Linked DNA regions of Drosophila melanogaster. The protein of the gene in region 2 interacts with the protein of the main gene of each other region in a pairwise test. Each region holds a gene or a part of one and is shown on either strand. Other genes may lie near its edges.

Region 1 (4,309 bases), 3.0 Mb from region 2:
TATTGTACATATACACATGTAACTACGTCATTAGACGGATTGATTAGATCCGTCACACACTCGGTTCATTAATTGGTTTATGTTTTGTATTTTGATCGCAAAAGAATATGGGATGTATGGAAAATTATAATTGGTGTTTCTTTTTCTTTTTTTAAATATGATTTGTTCCTTATTTCATGTTCTTTTCATTCCTCTTTGTATAATTTGGTATATATGTATCTATCAATGTCCTGAACGTAAACCGCTTTCTGTAAGCCAATCAATTGATCCAAACTTTCTCTCTACTCCACAGGCGAATCGAATGTGTATACTCTGGGCAATATCGGGGCGCACAGGATCGTGAGCACCAAGCTCCCGTCGGTGGGCAGCAATCGGGAGGCGATGACGGCGACGGGCAATACCACAACCCGTCTGTTGGGCACATTCCAAAAGGTCGACTATGTTTTCATCGTGGGCGTAGCCGGTGGCGTTCCCCACTACACGGACTATAAGAAGCACGTGCGACTGGGCGATGTGGTCATCTCGTATGTGGACAAACAGCGGGCACTGATCAGCAATAGGTAAGTTACACGAATATAAAATCTTCAATCTATCAATCGCATTCATGTATGGCTCTTCACAGCAAGGAGAAACCGTACGTGTACTTGTACAAGAGCGGCGAGGACGTGAAGACCTACTTCCCGGTGAACGATTCGCTGCAGCAGATCGCCGAGAGCCTGCAGGCCAACATGCAGGTGAAGCGGCCGTGGGAGGACTACCTGAACCAGGCCCAACAGGCGTTGGCCCAGAAGACGGATGCCGACTTCAACCGGCCGGACGCGCGGACGGACAAACTGTTTATGAACATTGGAAATAACGAGGTGATCGAGGTGGCCCATCCCATTGCCGCCGACGAGGTGGACGGTGTCAATCGGTTGCGACTCCATCTGGGTCCCATTGGATCCGGAAGGGATCTGGTGAGGAGCGACGAGCTGCGCACCCAGTTCGCCAGGAAGTACGGCCTACTGGCCACCGATGTGGAGATGAGCAGCGTGCTGGACAGCATCATTGGCAATTGCAGAGAGAGCTTTATACTGGTGAAGGGCATCGCTGACTACAAGGACGGCACGTCCACCAGGAAGTGGCAAAACTTCGCTGCCATTTCGGCGGCGTCGGTGGTTAAGTCGGTTATCTGCGGCATGGACGCGCCCACGAATGTATAGGAGGCGGGGCTTCGAATACCCCATTTCCTCCATTACACCCCAACCCCCCCGCCCACCCCTTCCCTGCAATCGTAGCATTTGATTTGCCTCCAATTTTCGTACCAATCCCGCTGCGGCGTCCCTTTATTTTTTTGTGGCCAGACACATGGGGACCACTATTCGTAAACCAAAATGTGCATAGATTGCATCATATATAATGTATGTTCGCGTAATATTGTATTAAATGATTTCTTGTTATTTATTTTGTTATAACTTTTGTACTACAATCAATCTAATTTACACACAAACACTTGACGTATATAAAAACACATATATACAACAGTAAATAAATATCGCAACTAAGCTTGCAAAAACTAAGAATATTCAATGAGAATTTGTGATTGAGTGAAAAAAAGTTCAGGTAAATTGACCAAAGACATTAGAATATTCTAATTCATTGTTTGGAGCTTCATCTTAAAAATCAATCTAGTGTAAATGCACATTGCCATTGCAACTGTTTCGCTAAAATAGCTAAATATTTAATGCAAATACATTGGATTTTCGAATTTGTCATTTTTTAAATGCAATTGTCAATCAGAAATCTATACTATCGATATCGATAACAGCACGACCCAGTGGAGCCCTGCTATTTCGTGCGTCCGCTCACGCACGCAACTCTGTGTGCTTGTGTTGTTCAAAAATTCGATCCGTTTCGTTTCGTTTCAACATCTGGCAAAACTGGCAGAGCGGAGCGCAGCTAGCGCTTGGTATCAGTGTTTATACCTGTGTGGCCTTCAATTGCTCGCACCTGCGCCCGCACCACCCTGCCCCCGCTCCCAAAAGGAGCGACAACTGCGGCGCACTTGCTTTCCTTTGTGTGTTTTGGCTGCTTGGGCTGCTCGGGCAGCTTGGGCCCAAAGCAAAGATCTCCGTCTCCTCGCACAGCACACTGGTGCTACACGGCTCGCAGCCCACAGCGCACAGCTTATCCAGTTGGCCAAGACATGCTGTGGACGGTGCATCTGGACGGTGGGCCACAGCGGGTCAATCACGCAGCGGTGGGCGTGGGCGACTTCATCTACAGCTTTGGTGGCTACTGCACCGGATACGATTATCGCTACAATGAGCCCATCGATGTGCACGCCCTGAATGCACACACAATGCGCTGGACTCTGGTGCCCCAGCAGCTGGACGACGCGGGTGTGCCACTCAAGTATCCGCTGGTGCCCTTCCAGCGCTACGGACACACGGTGGTGGCCTACAAGGATCGCATCTACATTTGGGGCGGTCGCAACGACGAGAATCTCTGCAATACCCTCTACTGCTTCGATCCCAAGACAGCGCAGTGGTCGAGGCCCCAGGTCACTGGCTGTCTACCCGGAGCGCGGGATGGTCACTCGGCCTGTGTCATTGGCAATAGTATGTACATCTTCGGTGGATTCGTCGATGAGATCAACGAGTTCAGCAGCGATGTGCATTCCCTTAATCTGGACACCATGGAGTGGCGCTATGTTCAGACATTTGGCGTGCCGCCCAGCTACAGAGATTTTCATGCGTCGGTGGCCTACGAACAGGAGCGAATGTACATCTTCGGCGGGCGGGGCGATAAGCACAGTCCGTACCACAGCCAGGAGGAGACCTACTGTCACGAGATCGTCTACCTGGACATGAAGACCAAGGTGTGGCATCGACCGTTCACGGCCGGTAAGGTGCCCGTTGGTCGACGCAGCCACAGCATGTTCGTTTACAACAAGCTGATATATGTCTTCGGTGGCTATAATGGCCTGTTGGATCAGCATTTCAACGATCTGTACACCTTCGATCCGCGCACCAAGCTGTGGAACCTGATACGGGCCAACGGCAAGGCACCGACGGCGCGTCGGAGACAGTGCGCCATTGTGATGGGCACTAGGATGTTCCTGTTTGGCGGCACCAGTCCAAGGAGCGGCTCCTCCAGCTCGCCGGCAGCTGTTTCACCCACTCAAGAGACGGGCGGAGCCGCAGCGGCTGGCGGAGTTGTTCCGCCCGGTGTGGCGCTTATCGACTACAGCGATCTGCATGTGCTCGACTTTGAGCCCACTCTAAAAACCCTGGCCACCATGGTGGTGCTCAAGCACCAGCTGGACATCTCGGGGCTGCCAAGGAGCTTCCGCTCGGACCTGCAGATGCTGACACAGCCGAACAGTATTAGCCGGCCCATCAACCAAGCTGGCTAGCGTCCAAAGCCGTAAGGAATAAGCCGGAGTCGACTGCCACAAAATGGAATGAGGTGGAAAAATGGTGTTGAATCACGGAGCCACTAGTCCGGTTCTTTGTATTGGAGCTCGAATAACACTTTCGGGAGAGATGACGAATGGAGGACCTGAGCGAACGAGGGAGAAGCCCCAGTAATTACAAAAGTTTTAGAAACTTGCTTTTGGTACTTCTGATAGCTGCTAAATAATACACAATAATTATGACCATGCGAATGTAGAATATAGTTCATGAAACATTTATAAATCGTCCTCAAATAATACACAATAATAATGACTATGCGAGTATAGAATATAGTTGATGAAACATTTATAAATCGTCCTTTCGCCAAAATGCCCGATAAGAAAATGAATATAATATCTTAAACTCATTAATCATATTATTCAGTTTTGTTTACTTTGCCTTCTTGCTGAATTTTGTATAGCTGGTTAACTTAACACTATATTAATCTGTGGGCCGTTCATTGCGAACTCCAAACTTGCACGAGTCGGCTGTTTAAATATTTGCTTTTCGCATTAGGATCTATGTGGCAGCCGTTTCGTTAATTTAGACACTTTCAAACCGCCAAGGTATTCATCTCACCTTGGAATTACCTAATCTATTTTTGCGGTCAAACTAGTGACAAATCTCTATAACTAATTTACAGAGATCATCTCCTTTTAGGCAGTGTATGCATATATATATATATATGGTAATTGTGGATGTAACTCCCCTTGAACGCGGTGTTCCAGGCAGGAAACAGTCATCGAATCACTTGAAAGCAACAGCCTCGCACGCAATGCCAGTAAGAGTAAGGTCAGCAGCGCTCTAATTGCCTATTATGAGTGGTAGTTGCAACGCAAGGCCTCCAGGTGCGGAACACAGCGAGTACTTGG
Region 2 (7,432 bases):
GATTCCTTGTTACTCGATATTGCGCATCCACTTAAGCCGTAACCAAAACCCAGACACTAGGCAGGCACATACATAGCCACGTAGCACATAAGAATTCTTTTTCATATGTATGCACAAAAGCATAAGCAAGAAGCGCTCTCGCGCAGATCAAGTAAACAACCCACTAACCAAGTACATTTAAGATTTTCTCACACCATTTGTTTCAGTCTTAAGCTGATATTCAATCAATAAAAACGCAAAGCGAATTCATTCGAAGTTTTTATTCATTTCGGTTCAAATACGGATCATTTATTCGACTCAAAAGCAAAAATTATTTTACTATATGTATTCTCGATCCACATGACGCGACGCGGCGCAACGAAATGTCGACGGAGAACAAAACTCAGAGCTGCATTTGTATTACACATTTCGTTGACATTTTTTTTTTTTCAAGAAAAACGAGAAATATCTTTAAACAAAGTGTACTGTATATTTTTGGAGATTTATTATTAAGATCTTATATATTTAAATGTAATAAAAACAATGTCTTTGTACGAAGAAGATGGGTGTTTTGCGTATGATTTTTATTTTTTTAATTGTGTCATTCATGTTCAAATGTAATGAGTACAACTTTGATCTTGCCTTCGTAGGACCAGCAAGACCAGGCAGAACTACTTACACGCAATCTTACATAAGTACTATATTTTTATAGTGAAATTTATAGTTCACTTCCCAAAACAGTGGTTTAAGTCGATTTAGTATGATCCAGCAATTAACCCATTTATTTATTATGTTTACATGTTTTTCTTTTCTGTTCATTACAAGCTGTCAATTTGTAAGCAGCGTCGCTTGATTGCATCGTTCACAGCTTGGGACAAAGTAATGTACTGAATGTCGTTCAAAGATATTGTTGAGAGTGTGTTTAAATGTGGTGTTCGGAGGTGATGCTTCTCGAGAAGACTCAGTCTTGGCATTCTCTGCTACTGGGAGGGCTTATATATGAGCTAACTTATGGCACCTAGGAATAACTAGTGCGTTAAACGTTCTTACTTGTTTTTCAACTGTGGCCGTTTGAGGAAGGTAACCATGGTGCTGTTGAACATGTTCACCTTAACAAACGTAACAAATGTTGTTGGTGCCACATCGCGCAGTATCATCAGCAAGCGCTTGGCGGGCAGAAAGGTAACGCATTCCGTGTGGTCCGTTTCAATGCAACGGTCATCGGGAGCACAATAATTAAGGTCATCGTCCAGCGGAATTCCCGGTACAGGGCGCTCCACGGGGATCACATCCTTCTTACTTCCCCTGTACAGCTCACCCGTTGCACTCAACAGCTGGGTAACCAATCCTAGGCGGAACACGCGAAGCTGCGAGGCATTCTCGCGAACGGCCCGCATTACGGAATAGATCACGTTGGCCGAATTTTGAAGACACTTTGGGACGAGCAACAGGTGCGTAACAGTGGTGCACATTCCAATCAACGAAGTTAGAAGGTCATCCACCTCGACGTTCACCAGCTCCAGTTGCTGTACCGAACAAGCAGCGGCTACACCACACATAATGTGGTACAGCGGAAAAGTGGTATTGATCATGTGCTTGTTCTCCAAGCGGAGCCTGCGTAGAGACGTTAAAAAGGGCAGCACTTGCTGGCCAAATTCCTCGGTATCCATGCCCTGGCATGAAGACAACACTAGCACCTTCAGGTTAACTAGTTTCTTCAAGAAGCGGAAGTCCTGCGAGCCTATATAATTCACTCCACGTATATTCAACTCAGTTAGATGCACCAGGTCGCCCAGAGAGTCTAGTGATTCCACTTTGCTTCTGTGGTCCGTCATTAAGATTTGAAGCACGCGAATCTTAGACCATTGTCGTGCCAAATTTAAAAAATTAAAAGTTGGACTGTAGCAGATTGCCCTTAGCTCCAGCAGTTGGGGCAATTCACGAAAGACCTTAAAGAGGAACTGGTCATCTACTGGACAAGTGCGAAGAACACGCAATGCTTTCAGGACGCTAATGTCGAGTGTAGCGAGAATATCCGGAGGATTCGGCAATATCACGCCCAGCATGTCCAGTTCGCGTGTGCAATTATTTGCGAGTTCACGGATAAATCGCGGCCAGTTGCTGATATGGGTATCGCGTAGCATGACTGTGCGCCATACACTCTTATCCTGACTGATCATGGCCCATGTTTTGCAAACCTGCGCCATATTTACACGATCCTATATGGGATGGGATGGGATTACGAACTTCAATTTTACGATGACCTAGACATTTTACCTTCATCGTCATGATTTTCATAACGGCCATCACTATCTGGCATCCGATGTGACAATCGCCCAGGCTCTGCACCAAACTGGAGCTACATTTGTCCTTTGAGATCTTTTTAAGGCCAGCCAAATTCTGCCGGTTTGGAATCCTGATAAGTTGAGGAAAAACATATAAATAACTGTGCGTTTCGTAGGTTTTTTGCGTTGGTCTTGGAACTAAACCGACTCACACTTTCAGATTGCAACCAATCGGATCGGCTATGATGGCTATAGCCTTGCGCCCTCCAATTACAACAACCTCTTGTTCCTTTATAACGGTCTGCTTATTCACGTTTTCTAACTGCTTTTTCTCCGCCTGTTGAACGGATATTTCATTTTCCAAAGTGACTTCTATCATGCTGAAGTCACTGTCATCGTCATCATCATAATGATCCTCATTTCCTCCAGTCTTTTTCATCCATTTCTTATTGGCATATCCCTTCTCATAGATACACTTCTGAAAGAGGATATTATAAGCCAGTGAATCTCCAATAGCATTTCGTAAATTACCTTGCACAACTTAGGTCCAGACGGATGAACAGAAGCCGCGCAGCGCACACAAGGCTTTGACTTATCAGGGGCTGCCTTTGCGTGAGCTCTGGACATGAAAATACCGAGTATATAGAGATTGATATGTGTATATATATACAATATATCTACCTGCGCCTGCGAATGTTGGTATTACCAATCGGTGAACCGCACGAGCTGCTGTTGGTGTAGTCTGCCCGAGAATTCCCCTTAACCGCCCTGGTCGAGGTCCAGCCCTCACTCGGTGGACTTGCCCCTTTGGGCACCTTGGGCTTCGACACTCGCTTTCCAGTGACCGTTAAGGCAGGCGTCTGGGGCATTACGTTGGACGGGTTGGCCAACCCAGCCTTGCCTTTCACCACCGCCCCTTGCTTCGCCACCGTTTTGCACTTCACAACCGCCACATGTTCCATCTCCGCCACCTTTGGGACCGGGCTACCATTGCTGCGAGGCCTGGGATTTTCGGAGCTGGGTATAAAGAGATCTCGCTCTACGCCAGTTTGCTTTAGGCGTTCGAAAATAACTTTCAAAGAGGTTTCGGTGGATGTTTCTTTCATTATGTTCGTCTCATCGGTCAGAGGCGTATGGCTACTGAAGCGCACTGAACGACGCGAATGCTCCGGAGGCGAATGGGTGGACATAGAACGTTTTACGATGCGAGCGTCCTTAAGTGATTTGTGCAAGGTATGATCAGCTTCCGCCTGCTTCTTGGTGGTATCCTCTTTTTTATCTTCAACCTATGGGGGAAGATACAAGAGGGAGAGAAGATCAATGGTTAGTAAATCTGTGAAATTTCCGACTCTTAGCATAAGATTTTTTAAGGGTCTCCACCTGGTTGTATAAGTCTGATGGTTGCATGTTGGTTGGTGTTGTACTGGACTTGGATGTTGTTGCAATACCAGTTGCATTTGGACTTTTTTTTGCGTTCAAAGGGCTTTTAATGGCTGCATCCAATTCCCCCTGGGAGGCGTCGAGTGGCGACGTCATTATCGGCGTTGTTAGAGACGGCTGCTGCTGCTGCTCCTCAGACTTATTAGTGATATGAGCCGGCTTTGTTGTACCTGCCGCTGTCTCCTCTTGTGGTTCCACTCTCGGAAAAACCTTTAGGCCACTCCATGGCAGTACACCTGGCTTGGCCGTCGACTATTGCCGTAGTGTGCATGTTGTGTATTGTTTGGTTGAGATTTGAGATAAGCACAGATACGATTTCGTGTTGAGAAATACAATAATATAGAACAAACAAAACGATGTCCGCACAACATAGACCTCTGTATACCAGTTACCAAGTTTGATTGGAAAAATAGTCAAAAAACAGTTTATGGGGATCTAATAACCTTAAGTTCTTTCGATTTATGCAAATTTCCGTCCCAAGATTATTTACAATATTTTTATGTTTACATAAGTTTACTTTACAGGTAAAAGTAATTTGAGTATAAGTTTTAAAATAAACTTATACTCAAATTATATTGATTAATTATGTGTATTTGTGAATAAATACCGACCGAAAGGGATATTCAAATTAGCCCATTTGTGGATTGAACATGAGTATACAGAGGTATGTTCTATAAGCTTGAACAGACAGCAGCAGGCCAGCTCGTGTCCTGGACAGCATCGCCATCCCCTCTACTCACCAGCGGTTCTTTATCCGAGTTGCTTTCGATGTTGGATATGGGTGTTAGCTTTGGGAATTCTCCAGTCCATCCCATTAGACCTAAATCGCACGGTTCAAGATCGTCACGATGCGTGCTGGGCTCACGATGACGTTCACGTTGACGGCCACGGCGTCTGCGGCGTTCAAATTGACTCTTGTCATTTAATGTCTTTGAAGTCTTAATCATAGTACCTAAGTGGGTTTAGATGAGATGTGTTATTATGCTACAGATGCTGGTTATTTATTTATGCTTACTTTTTTTTCCCTGCTCAGTGTTCGAGTCTTTAAAGCTAGAGCCATCCCGGTGAGTCGAAAGATCCACGTTTGTGGAATTGGCATTTAACACCAGCAAGTCGCCCTCAATAATGTTTTGTCCCACGCCGGCACTCTGTTCACCAATGGAACCTTGTTCATCTATAGCACCGCCTGTGCTACTTTGATTGGCGCCGGAACTAGGTCCTGCAGCTGTAGATGATTCGAATGCGGAATCAACGTTACCGTTACCACCGGTATGCGACGATGAATTGGTAGCGCTGCTAGAGTTGCCAGCTAAGGGCTGCTTGTCACACGGCTTTGACGGCCCAAAATTGTCATCGGGCACATCCATGTCGCTCTGGAATCGATGTGCAAAAAAATAAGCTAAGTTTCTAGATATATGTTGTATATGTTCTCATAAAACATTAATAGTGATCACTTATGGAACCGATAGGCAAACAATTCAATGGAATTTCGTCTGTCAAAAATATTGACCCTGAAGACCTGGGTTGTCACTTTTTCCACAACCGACGTTTTATTGTCAAGTCATTTAATTTAAAAAGTATGCGATGTAAATTCTAATCAGAGTTAGCCCTTTTTAATACAATACTTTACAATAAACGAATTCTGCCGGTTAATCTGCACACAACTCACACACACACACACACACATGTAAATTTATGCGAGTGTCAGGGTTGCGCGGCTTCGCGGTTTGTTTTCTTTACGTTTCTGCTTTGATCGCCACAATTGTTGATCGAGAGGAAACCTGACGCACACATACGAAAAAACTGAATAGCGGGTTCTTGCACTTTCGCCGGCACAAAGTACACAGTTTTTCTCGTTTAAGTTAAATTTACTATCACTCTTTCGGACCGTTTCGCTTTGTTACTGTGTTTTCAGCCTATGCTTTGCCGCTTCTTCGGCGTATCGCGAACTTGCGTTGCAAGTAAGTGTGTGTGTGGATGCGACGCTTATTAAATCTGCACCGGATTGTTCAGCTAACCGTGTCAAAATCATGTAGAACTCAACAATTTTGTTTTAATTTTTGAGCTTACCTTTGTAAAAGAAATAAAAAGTTCACTTGAAAAGACACTGAACACGACAACTTCTTTCGGAAATATAAAACGAACCTACAAGCGTACTTAACTTGTCGACTTCCACTCACACAATTATTCGGTTAGATGGAAAATCTCGACAACGATTATTCAATACTATCGAATGAGTTGTAGGATTTTCTAACACATGTAAATACCAAATTTTAGCATATGATATGTTTTAAAACTTACCGGCATATACATTCACTGAGATCACAGATTTTATTCAAACGAATGTCTTAACATATATTTATATATATATTTATATTTATCTCAACACTTAAATACTAAAAGACACGTTTATCGAAATTGCCATTTTTGGAGACACCTAACGGGTTTTCCATCGCACAGTTTCGTTCCATGTGCTGTCATCGATAGTCCAACAACAAAATATCGCGTGCAATCATCCCTGGCGACACAACTGGTTGTACATATGTATATAGCGACATTACACACCTACATATATACACCTACATATTGCCAGCTCTGCACGTGAAATCCGAGGGCGGCTGTTGTAATCTGTGATCAAATCAAGTGAGTCCAAGCGCTAAATGCAAGTACTATAGGCCATACAATAGCATCTCTTTATCCCTATGTGTTCACAGACATGTCCAAGGCCAAGGGTAAGAAGAAGGAGCGCTTTGATGACGACGAGGAGCAGCTGGAGAAAGTGCAGGAGAAGAAGCCACCGACAAGCAAGAAGGGTGGTAAGAAGGGAAAGCGAGGAGGTGGCGGCGGCGACTCCAGCGACGAGGATGTCACGACCAGGAATCGGGACAACGAGGATCTGGAGAGCATAGCCTCATCGAATCAGAGCAAACAGCAGACTGCCGGCAAAAAGCAGGCCAAGAAGGGTAAAAAGGGCAAGAGGAATAATGACTGGAGCGACGAGGATGAGAAGCCAGAGAAGAGTTTGCCTGCCAACGACTTGGACGATGAAGATGACGACGAGGCGCCTCTGGCATCCAAGCCAGCTGCTAAAAAGCCACAGCCCAGCAAAAAGAACAAGAAGAACAAGAAGAAGAACGACGATTTCTCGGACGAAGATAAACCGGAGCTGGACTTGGACGACCTGGACAATGAGGAGGATGAGGTGGAAGTGGTTGCTGTCAAGCCAGCCTCCAAGAAGTCCAAGAAGAAGCAGCAGGCTCAGCAAAAGAACATGTTCGCCATGAGCGATGATGAGGAGGATGAGGTTGCCGATGATCTGCCAAATGACAGCGAAGAGGAGGAGAAGGAACAGCTGTCCAACAAGGCGGCCAAGGAGTCAAAAAAGGAACAGCAGAAGCAGCCCGAAAAGGAAGTGGAGGAGCAGAAAGTGGAGCAAGTCCTTAGCGAAAAAGTGGCGGCAGTAAGTCTCAAGGAAAAGACACCTGAGCCGGTACCCAAGGCCGAGCCCGAACCCGAGTCTGAACCCCAACCCGACGAGGAAGCCGATGCTGAGGTAGATTCCAAGTTCGAGGAGAGCAAGGAAGCCAAGGAGAAGAAACTCACTCACAAGGAGAAAAAGAAGCAAAAGAAGCAGCAGGAGTACGAACGCCAAATGGAGCTGATGACAAAGAAGGGTGGTGCCGGTCACTCGGACTTGGACAACAATTTCACCATGTCGCAGGTGCAGA

What was found.
Region 1: the proteins of CG2247 (region 2) and CG12081 interact in a two-hybrid assay, tested with the Drosophila melanogaster proteins (one large-scale study listed by BioGRID).

Annotation. Positions count from the first base shown.
Region 1 is NC_004354.4:8,586,966-8,591,274, forward strand, and holds CG12081 (uncharacterized protein), read left to right. Parts: upstream 1-1,845; 5' UTR 1,846-2,185; coding exon 2,186-3,397; 3' UTR 3,398-3,809; downstream 3,810-4,309. Other genes in the region: CG12065 (uncharacterized protein), read left to right, coding at 293-560, 623-1,202.
Region 2 is NC_004354.4:11,605,758-11,613,189, forward strand, and holds CG2247 (uncharacterized protein), read right to left. Parts: upstream 5,896-7,432; 5' UTR 5,775-5,895; intron 5,078-5,774; 5' UTR 5,072-5,077; coding exon 4,720-5,071; intron 4,657-4,719; coding exon 4,445-4,656; intron 3,957-4,444; coding exon 3,645-3,956; intron 3,551-3,644; coding exon 2,946-3,550; intron 2,884-2,945; coding exon 2,796-2,883; intron 2,743-2,795; coding exon 2,477-2,742; intron 2,396-2,476; coding exon 2,257-2,395; intron 2,199-2,256; coding exon 1,026-2,198; 3' UTR 533-1,025; downstream 1-532. Other genes in the region: CG1703 (uncharacterized protein), read left to right, coding at 6,421-7,432.